3 linked regions of the Mytilus edulis genome follow. The protein of the gene in region 1 interacts with the protein of each later gene in a pairwise test. Links are inferred from orthologs where the notes say so. Each region holds a gene or a part of one and is shown in the gene's direction. Other genes may lie near its edges.

What was found.
Region 2: the proteins of tyrosine-protein kinase Abl-like (region 1) and paired box protein Pax-6-like interact in binary tests that used the Caenorhabditis elegans proteins (3 or more experiments, as listed by UniProt). The link is inferred for Mytilus edulis from reciprocal best matches to the Caenorhabditis elegans genes abl-1 and vab-3.
Region 3: the proteins of tyrosine-protein kinase Abl-like (region 1) and DNA repair protein RAD51 homolog 1 interact in a two-hybrid assay, tested with the Caenorhabditis elegans proteins (2 studies listed by BioGRID). The link is inferred for Mytilus edulis from reciprocal best matches to the Caenorhabditis elegans genes abl-1 and rad-51.

The regions. Positions count from the first base shown.
Region 1 is NC_092345.1:30,627,070-30,630,833, reverse strand, and holds the start of tyrosine-protein kinase Abl-like, read left to right. Parts: upstream 1-1,347; 5' UTR 1,348-1,582; coding exon 1,583-1,700; intron 1,701-3,764. UniProt on the Caenorhabditis elegans protein: Functions downstream of migratory protein mig-13 and is involved in Q neuroblast migration during larval development.
Region 2 is NC_092350.1:1,506,857-1,510,620, reverse strand, and holds the start of paired box protein Pax-6-like, read left to right. Parts: upstream 1-1,463; 5' UTR 1,464-1,913; intron 1,914-3,764.
Region 3 is NC_092346.1:57,670,548-57,674,311, forward strand, and holds the start of DNA repair protein RAD51 homolog 1, read left to right. Parts: upstream 1-1,598; 5' UTR 1,599-1,806; intron 1,807-3,764.

The DNA.
Region 1 (3,764 bases):
AAAATTTGTATAAAAAGTGTCCAAATTCAAAACATTATCAAACTCTCTAAAAATGCCTAGAATGCAGGATTTTGCACCATTCATTTCATACCCTCCAAAAAAAAATTTCGACTCGCTTCGCTCGGCTCAATTATTTTGCCTCACAATTCTAATCTAACTTAAATGAAAATTCAAATCAAGTCAAAAGAAAAATTATCTAGCGAATAACGATTGTGTTCTAAGAGCATAATCCCCATTGAGGACCCAGTAAAAAATCAAAATGATAAAGTCATACCAAATAGGACTACGATAATCTGTGCCTAGAACTAGAAAATTCTTTCTATTTTGCCTAATTCAAAGTTTTTTAAACAGTGTTTATAAAAAATATGATTGATATTTCATGCCAATAAAGAAATATAAGCCAACATTGTGCCAACAATATGCCAACGTATTAGGTACTTATCTCACCCCCTTTGTACCACATACTTGAAAATTATATTATTCCAATGTTCTAACAAAAAATGTGCTCTTCCTTCTCTTTATCTAACATTTTCAAATCTGTGTAGTCATTTAAATATCTGAATAATTTTATGCACAAACAAAAAATATTTAAAACCAGCACAAAACAACAAATACAATTTGAATATACTTTCATTTTTTCAATTTCTTGTAAATCAACACATCATTACACGAGTGAATTTTCCTACTCTATTATAATATTAACCAGTAGAATTTATGAATTGACTTATAATCATTCAATCCAATGCCTTAACTTTTATTAAAATGAGAATAAGGTTGACAGACTGTATTTAAAAAAAACCATTAAGTAGACATCAATAAAACATATCCTAGACATTAGAAGAATATTTTGTCCTGATGTTTGAAAGATGTTGTCTGGATATTTTCAATTGAAACTGAATTATATCAAAATTATGTTATTTCAATATAAAATCAAGATATTTAAAAATAATGCTCTTTAAACATTCAGAACAAATATTTCCAGAAAATATGCTATTCACATGAGTACAGCCAGACATATCACGTCAAAAACATGTTTTTGAATGATATTTTGGTGATATTTTGCAAGATATTTTAAAAATATCAATAAAATGTTTTTGTGCTACCTGGGTCTACGGTTTTTATATTTTGTTCATATATATACCAGTTTTCTCTATTCTTTAACGCTTCCTAAGAATAAAATATCAGATTATTTTGTCTGGTACACTGACATCGACTTTTATCTCGGTCAAACCATGATTTGATTAGTTACCATATTTGGTAAATTATCTCTTTTTTCGTCAAATTTATTTTTAGAAGGGGTTTCCCGAAATTTGCGATGCTACGTCATTTTCGTGATGAGGTCACCTCATTCGGAAAAATAGACTCGTTCTGGAATTAGACAATATGGCGGCCACCGAAAAGGGAAGGAAATGATATACAAATCTGATTAATTTTGACTATAAAACCCTTATGCAATTATCGATAATGTTTCCTGAGTATATAATAGCATGACCTAAAAGTACAAATAATGTAGCGTAGCATTTGTAGTGCCATGAGCGGTGTAGGGGGCTAATATACACCCTTTATTTTGTTCAAATGAAGAATGGGCGCACAACAAGGAAAAGAAGGAAAAAGTAGTAGCTCAAGTAAACCTAAGAGTAAAACAAAAGATCAGTCTCGACCATCACCCGGAAATCCTTCTATATTTACAGATCCGACTGGTAAGTTTGTGAACCCTTTATAGGACATGACTCATATCTCCACTCGAGATTTATAAGAAGATTTACTTTATCTCTTGAAATAATTTACAAAAAACTCTACAGGCAAACGAACCTCATATTCATTTTACTAGAGAAAAAGTGTTCTTGTAATGCATTGCATTTGCTCAAATTTATAATTGAAAACAATTCCTTTTGAAGGCAGCCAGAAGTAACATGGTCATGCATGAAGGAGTTTTGTGAGGAAATGTAACTTATTTAGTTGTCTGAAATTGGTTTGAAGCTTAAAACCTCAAAAGTAACCCAGCTTTATTTCTTGATGTCATACACCTGAAACATGTTCCTCTTCATATAATACAATCTACATGTCGTGTATATAAGAAATCTGTCTTTGTTAAGAACAAAATAGATTGGAACTAAGGTATCCGGTCGGTATGGCCCCAAAATGATCCGGCCCATAGTCACAGGGGATGAAATTAGCAGGGGCCCACAGGCCAATGGCCCCTAAAATTTTGTTTGGGCTACTTAAATTTTTGCTTTTCTTGTATAGAACTATATATGTGGACCACAAAATTTAAGCTGTGGGCTACCATTGCCAAAGTCTTAAGTTCTATCCCTGTTAAGTTGATCCGGCCCAATTCGATCCGGCCCTACGAAGATCCCTCCCAAAAATTAAATATGGAATAAACTATATTGACTTTGGAGGGTTTGGTGATAAATTTTATCAGTCTAAAAAAGTATCGATGATGGATGACAACAGGTATAAGTGAAGTATAAGAATATATTTGAGTACCAGTCAATTACATGTAGCATTCAATTATTTTAAGTTGAAAACCGCACAAATACAGTCGAGAACTTCAAGGCAGCTTTCCAAACAGTCAATAGGTATCTCTCTCTGGTATCTTTATATAGATAGATGAGAGATAGGAAGATGTGGTGTGAGTGCCAATGAGACAACTCTCTATCCAAATAACAATTTATAAAAGTAAACCATTATAGGTCAATGTACGGCCTTCAACAGTCCCTCCCCGTAATTGATCTTTCCTACTTGCGAGGGCCTGAATTCCTAACACGATAAAAACTTCATGAATCCTGGATTTTGAATTGTGCCCTGTAGTTGAGGTGACCAATCAGCTATTAGCTAAATTTTGTTGAGATAAGTAAATCCCGAGCTAATTCCGAATGGTTGATTGAAGATTTTTCATTGTCTATGCATTCAGGCGTTAATGTAGTAAGCAGAATACAATGACTGAATTATTCGGGTTAGACAATTGCTAATTTTCTCTATTGTCAATGCTTTGGATCAAAAGTATTTGAGAAATATAAAATCTTACAGATACTGCCATCTGCCAAATTGGGCGGTTCGTAACAGAGTACAAACAGCCGATTTCCCCCAGTGAATAACTAGTCATCACATACATTCCCGTAAGATTTTGAGGTTACTTAGAATACATGTATGTCTGATGCCACCATTCAAAATTTTTTATGCCCCTGCCATAGCGAAGCGGGCATTAAGTTTTACCCTTGTCCGTCTGTATGTCCCAAAATTGATTTCCTTTAGCTAGCTTTAGGTTGCCTCTACCAAATGTTATGAAACTTCTACAGTCTACACAATGTTTATTGTTTGAATTTTGGTGGTGTCACTTGAATATTTCTAGAGTTGTGTACCTTTACATATGATAAAAATGCTGAATTTATCTATTCCATTCTTTAACTTTAGTTTCCCTAAATCAAATAGGATATTTAACTTATGCACAATATAAAAAAGACAATGTGGTATGATTGCCAATGAGACAACTCTCCACAAGAGACCAAATGACTCGGAAATTAACAACTATAATATGGCTGTCAACAATGAGCATAATGAGCATAGCCTATACCCCATAGTCAGTTATAAAGGGACCCAAAATGACAAATGTAAAACAATTCAAACAAGAAATGCTTGTTACCACAAAACACAGATCAAGTTTGAATTTGGGTGGCATCACTTTTACTGTTAAAGAGTTACATGTATGCCCTATACAAATTCCTGAATTTTTCATTTCTGTTCTCTAACTTAAGTTTGCC
Region 2 (3,764 bases), on another chromosome or scaffold:
GTTCTCTAGATTAAAACCTTATGCTGAGGACACATAGGTATCCAAAAAACAATTCTTGTTCTATCTATAATGTATAATATTTAACGTTTAAAAATCAAGGCTAAATTAATTCATTCCATGTTTGTTTCCGATTCTTACTTTCCTCTGACAAACTTGACAATACAAAAAATATAAAAGTTTGATTGTAGAACACTTCATTTCGCTTTTCTATATTTAGAATTTTATTTCATGCTATTGTGCTTTTTAATGATTTAATTATTTTACCTCTAGTTTATTTATTTCTTTTTTATATTTATTTCCTTTGAGAGGTTACACATTCTATGTCTCATTTCTTTTGGGAAAACGGTATAATGACTAGATAAAAGAACAAAAATAAGTTTTTCAATACAGATATGTTAATTAATAAATCATTGTTAAACATTTCAGAACTTATGATGACTTATTAAGCGCGATAAATCGACGAAAATATAAAATGTTATTAATAGTTGAAGAAAATGTTGCGAGAGAATAAATTTTTAAAACAATATATCTATATGTTTGCACTTATTCTTTCTTTATATAAATTACAAGCTTCATATTATGATGTTTTCTATTTACTTTGTCTCACAAAAATATTTTTAAATGCACAAATTACAGCAATATCACACAAAATAATATATCATACAATTCACAAACGTTTTGGACGTGTGAACATATTCAAATAAATATATGCACAATTATCAAATTCAAATGAATTTTAAAACTAGATGATATTTGATGTATTGTTTATAAATATTAAAACATGTACGTCACTGCCAAATTTCCAATTTTAAAATACACATTATTTTGTGTTCATAATTCTTTTCTTTTATTTTATGTTTATCGGAAACTAAAATGAAATTGATGGAAAATTCGTACACATTAATAAATTAGTCTACGTGTTTCAAATTATTTTAATTAAAATAGAAGTTGATAAAAAGAAAAAAATATTAATCTTACAACGAAAACATGCAATTTAATAATAAATAACGATGAAACAAAAGAAAAATACGTCAATTAATAAAGACAACCATCAAAGACTTACAGGTATTTAATGACGAAATTAATTACATTCGATCAGAAAATTATTTAATCCAAAAATCAATTCATCAATTCCAAAAATAATCTTCGTTTTTTGTTTAAAATACATTTAAGAAGTTTAAAAGCAATGGATGTTTATGATTGGGCTACTACAAATTCGATTCTCTCATTATCACGTAGCAAGCCAATCTCAGCATCTTGTATTTTCTCACTAGACCGCCCAATTGGATATAATGTATTTTAATAATTCAATCCGATAGCAATATTATATTTTATAATTTCATCTTTTCATAAATCTTATTTTGATTTAAACACTTCTGATTGCTCAAGCTTAACATAGTTGTAGAAGTCGTAAAATGATTGGTTGAAATTATTCAAGCTCCACCTATTTTTCATGATTTAATAAATATGTGAATTCATGGCTAAAAAGAACTTCTCTACAGAGGTGGCAGTTTTAAATCAGGCGTTATAACGTACCAAAGTAGTGGAAAAAGCAATCGGCCCTGAAATATTCGTTAAAGAATGATTGCAGATTTATAACATTATATAGCAGTAACTTCGCATATACTGTTTCTTTTCGCTCGACAAAAGTAGGAATTTTAACCCAGACATTTTATAACATTTTAAAAGCATATGTAAGCAGTCGCCATTGACAATTACTAGTTATGTTTTGAAAACTAAATGCACGTGTGTTAACTGTCCAGAGGAATTTACCAAACAAGACGTTATCACTGAATCGTGAAAAATCTAATAAGTTATCTTCAGCGGAGGGACACAATTTGTAATTGATGCGTGAATGGGACAACCATTGTGGAAACTAGACAATTAACTACAAAATTTTTCAAAATTTTCAGGTAAGTCAATTGTAATAATTGTTTAAAATTTTGGAAAATAGCATCCTCCCCCTTTCTACTTGGTCATTTTTCATTTAACATTTAGATAACTCATTCTTTTTGTTTTCATCTCCTCTCTGCGTTTCAAAGTTATATCGTGCATATAAAGGATGCATAATTTTTAGTTATTTGTGGGACATTAGGAAATTATTTTTGACAATTATTTATGTTTTTTTTTACAAACATTCCATACTGACCGATGTTGTATTGTTTACGATGATACGACATATATTTTTCTTCTGACTGTGGTCTATGTAAGGAAAAACTAACAATTTAACCAACAGACTGACCAACAGTCCGGATTGAAGATGCTGATTTTGGAAATAGAGAGAAAAATAAAATAATAAACTTTCACGCAAGTTACATACCAACACGTGTATCTAAAACATTTCACATTTTGATTTGAGGTTTTGAAGGATTCTAAGATAAAAAAAATAAACAACAATTATACCATCGTAAACTGGATATTGTATGCAATAAATAATATATTTTACAGATTATATTTTAATCTATATATCCAATTCACCATAGAGTTATGTCACACTAATCTTTAAACAGTCGGTCAAAGATATTTCTCAACATTTTGTTGCATGTTCTCCTACTATTTAACGACAGTTTATGTATGTAATTCGTGAGTACCTAGTTCTTCCTACAGCGACTTAAGTTCTGGAATGGACATCCTTATGTAAACACAATATATAACAAATATAAAATGTAAACTTTATTTTCTGTATCTATTTCTATATTTATTATTTCCTCTCATTGTAGAGTTATGATTGCTGGAGTAATAGCTAGTTAGGTTTTACTTTATAAGTCACAATAATTTAACGGGCCTTCACGGCGCCCAGTGTACTCAATCTTAAATCCGTGTATTGAAAATGTATTAATAATATTTAACCCTTCAGACATTTTTGATAGTATAAAATGGATAAAAATTTTGCTTGTTTTTATTTTATTACATTGTGTGAAATTTACCAGGCATGAAATTGACAGTTGTCATTTTCAAAACACATGATGCTTTTTGAAGATAAACGGATTATCGGCCTGAAGGAAAATATTAAATCTTTATCTGTAATGTATTCGGAAATAACTGGATTAATCATAAGATAATCATATCCATATTTTAGAGAAATATTAACTGGGAGCAGTATTAGTATCCGACGGCTTAGCACACACAGTTTGTAGTTCTTAAATCATGTATCATAGTTAGGGAAACACAAATATGTATACAAATCACAAAAATATTCTATAATGAAATATCTCGATTTTGCTACAAAAATTATATAAATAGAACGCTTCTAAAAAAAAGACTTTATTGTTGAAAAAATAAAAAATCTTTTACTTTGTGAGGAACAATATTCTTTCCTTTATTATTTGCAGATTACAAAAAAAGATTTCTGTTTCAAGTATATTTTTTAACTCGCCTGTAAAATAATGATTATAAATTTATTTTATTTTTATATGTTGAAGCGAATAAAAATGGTAAAATAATTTTATATAAACATCTTTTTCTTAAAAAATATGAAATCAAATGATTTTCATTCATTTCTATAATTCGGTTAAATTTGCTTTTTTTACATTAATTTTTTTTTAAATTAAGTTAAACTAACAATAGCATTTATCTTTAGCTTCAATACTCTTCACAAACATTCAACACTTAAAAATCATTAACAAAACAATATGAAACTCCTCAGTTAAAATTTGAAGTAGAACGTAAAATAACATTTGAATTCGATAGTACCTGTTAAAGATTATCAAGAACACTTGTTCTAAAAATTCGTTTAATACACAATAAAATTACATTTCAAATGC
Region 3 (3,764 bases), on another chromosome or scaffold:
ATTTCCAATCAAGCTAACAAAATTTGATGCAGGAATGCAGAAAACTACTGTTAATTTCCATTCAAAAGAACAAAGGAGTAGGTTCAGTAAGACCCCTTTTTGGCCCCAAAATATAGCAGTTTTACAAAATTGTTAAAATGTAAACCTTTAGTTATTTATTGAACAGTAGAATGCTTCTGCTACATAAATATGGGCCGTTTTTGACAATACAATGCACATATATCCGGTACTAGCACCATTAAGTCATGCTAAATTACTGAAATCCTCATAATTCTAGCATTTTAGTTAAATTTTAGACGGTTTTCGTGTAAAACGAAAGTGGCCGCATTCGTGTTCATCCTTAATATTGAAATGTTAGTTGTATTTTATGATAATACATAACATATATAAAGGTTGAGGATGAACACGGATGCGGCCACTTTCATTTTTACCAAAAACCATCTGAAAAGTGACATTTTTCGGCATATTAGGTAGATTTTTCATATTTGAGCTTGAATCGGATCGTTTTTAATGACTAAATCTGTTAAAATCTTTCACATAAACTAAATAATTCAAATAAAATAGACATTTTAAAAGTGTTTAAAAAGTGGTCAAAATCTTTCGTCAGATGAACCTGAAATTTGAAGGCCAAAATCGGTCCTTACCGGACCTACTCCTTTATAAGATTAAAACTTATAATTATCAGAGACACATAATACTATATTATATGTCTCTGTAATTATTAATACTTTTACAAGTGCAGATTATTTCAGTTTGCTTGATTTTTTTATGTTTTTAAATTAGCATTTTAATGGGAGATAACTCTGAAATAGTGCATTTTCTGAAGGAATCTACATGAAACGTGCTAGTTTGTATTTTAACTGGAAAAAAACGCACGGTGACCCAATCTTTTCTTTTGATATCATCAAAGCATTTCCTTAAAGCTATCTTCTCGTATTTTATTTTACAATTTTAGTTATCATTCAGTTCAGCTCCTATAATCACATAATGATTTTTTTCCTGTTTAATCTGTGAAAAAAAATGTGTCATTTTGTCACAACCTGTAGCCTGAAGAAATCGTGATAAACTATCATTTTCACAATATTTTTGAATATATGTCAATATATATATACTACGTTTTGGCAAAGTATATGAACAAATTTATTCTATCATTTTTAATTTAGACTCCCATACCACCTTAACATTTTCTTACAACACTTTTTGTTTTTGGTGGGGTTCGTGTTGCTTATTCTTTAGTTTTCTATGTTGTGTCATGTGTACTATTGTTTGTCTGTTTGTCTTTTTCATTTTTAGCCGTGGAGTTGTCATTTTATTTTCGATTTATGAGTTTGATCAGAGACATATATACACATGTGTATATATGTCTCTGGTTTGATATCTTTGGTATCTTTCGTCCCTCTTTTACTCTAGTAAATATAGAAGTATCATTTGCGGTCACTTGCGTTTCATGATCGATGTAGCCTTTCGTGTGCAAGTCAAAAACTCTGTTTTTCAAAATGTGGTGACTCAGTTTTTAAAATAAATATTGTGACAAGGGAGACAAATCTACCAGCCGTTTTGGTCTATATTGTATTTTTGGTAGTTAGTTTTAAAGAAAGAGGAAATGACGTATTATTGTGGCGGGACGTCTGATTTTAGATTTGTAAACATTGGTGGAAAACTTTTACAAATGACTAAATAGTTTAACTAAAACACAGAGAATTAAACTTCGACCTCTTATAAGATATTACTTTTTAATTTAAAGATAAGCTAGACAAGAAGAAGCGTGTTGCATTAAGTGTACAGGCGACAGCCAGTAAATTTTCAGTGAGTGGCACTTTATTTTCAGATTTGGGTAGACGCAATACTCTATAGTTGAACACACAAACATACGCAAGATATGGTGAATATATAATTTTTCGAAATTAGTAAAATTCTCTTAGTTAAAAGGGATAAGAAAGAATGGCAAGAATTACCAAAAATAAAACAAGGATTTGATCTAATCCTATACAAATCCTTGATTAAAACAACTGATAGATTTATCTCCCTTGTCACAATATTTATTAAAAAAATGTAACTGCATGAATTTGTGATGAATTATTTCTTCTCTTGTTAAAACCAAATTTTGAAAAACAATAGACCACTTTCAAGTTCATCCGTCACCGGAAAAAACTGGTCAATAGTGCTCTTTACGGTTAGTTCGGCCATATTGGATAGGGGGCAGATTTTCATAATAGAGGTAAAAATGGTGTGAAAAATACGGGAAAACATCATTAAAACAGAGCTGTTGCTTGGAAACACACATAGGATTTCCCACACTTTCATACCATTTCCACCTCCTTCCAAAAAATCTGCCCCCTATCCAATATGGCCGAACTAACCGTGAAGAGCCCTATTATGCTCGCCTTTATGACGTCATTAACCAGATAGAGGGGATCGCCTGTATCCCTGCACTATTTACGTTCATCAAGCGTCTTAGTGATCGTCATTGTACAGGATAAACTAGAAATAATGGTTGTTCTGTAGGTACTTAATGACAATTCCCTAATGACAGCAGTGCTGATTTTCAATTTTGAGAATTCAATTTGCCAAATTATGAATAATTCGTACATAAATGAATATAGAATTATCCAACCACTCGCTCAACATTGGAATGGAAGTGACGACGCCCCTAAACGCACAAATGATGTTCACTAAAACCAGAGTTTTTGACGGAAATGCATCGAACTCGAAAGTTGTCAATTACTTTGTTATTGGTCAGAGCTATATTTCAATGACTATTTAATAGAGCAGAAATATCTGGAAGTCACAGACAAAATAGTATTAGTGCTATTTAAAATAACTGCTTGACATTTTTCAAACCCCTGTCTTTATTCTTATGTACAGATTCAACCCTATCATAAGAAGTAGATTAATTTTATCTTTAAAAACAGTTATCAAAGCAGTCCGAGACATATGAAATTTATCAACATATAAAATTTTGCATATTCATTCCTTACCTCAGTGTACATGTACAATGTACTGATCATGACATTTGTATATTTTATGCCCAACAAATGCACAAATGACGTTAGATAACATCACCTACAACAAAACACTTTGACGGAACAATAACAATTGGAACAAGGGCATTCACAGGAGTACCCGCACAACATCAAATCTGGTATCAGCTGTCTTCATAAAAAGTTGAATTTTCAATAACACAAAATGCTTTATTTTCAGTGCCAGTCGTTTTTTTGCCAGGAATATATTAAGTCTGTTTTAAATGTAATTTATATCGAAAAATTGCATTGAAAGCAATCTCACATTTCTTGTAGGATTTATATGAAATTTTATGATAACTTCACCATGTTTACTTTTTTATAACATTTTTTTTTATCAAGTTGTATTGAACATTATCATCATACATTGTACTTGACTTTTATACAAATTTATGCCATGTATATGTTTGCATTTTTGTATATGCCTTTCTATGGTGAGGGCCTCAGGAAAGATTAGTTTTATAGCTAACTGTGTAACCCTTAAAGTCTTAAAATAAAGTATTGTTGTTATTGTACATGTAGGTCCATAATCAGCAAAATTAATGGATATATGCAAATTGGAAATAATAAAAAAAGATTTGTTTTAGCGAATGGTATTGATAGAAGTGAAATAAAATTGAGAATGGAAATGGGGAATGTGTCAAAGAGACAACAACCCGCCCAAATAAAAAACAACAGCAGAGGGTCACCAACAGGTCTTCAATGTAGCGAGAAATTCCCGCACCCGGAGGCGTCCTTCAGCTG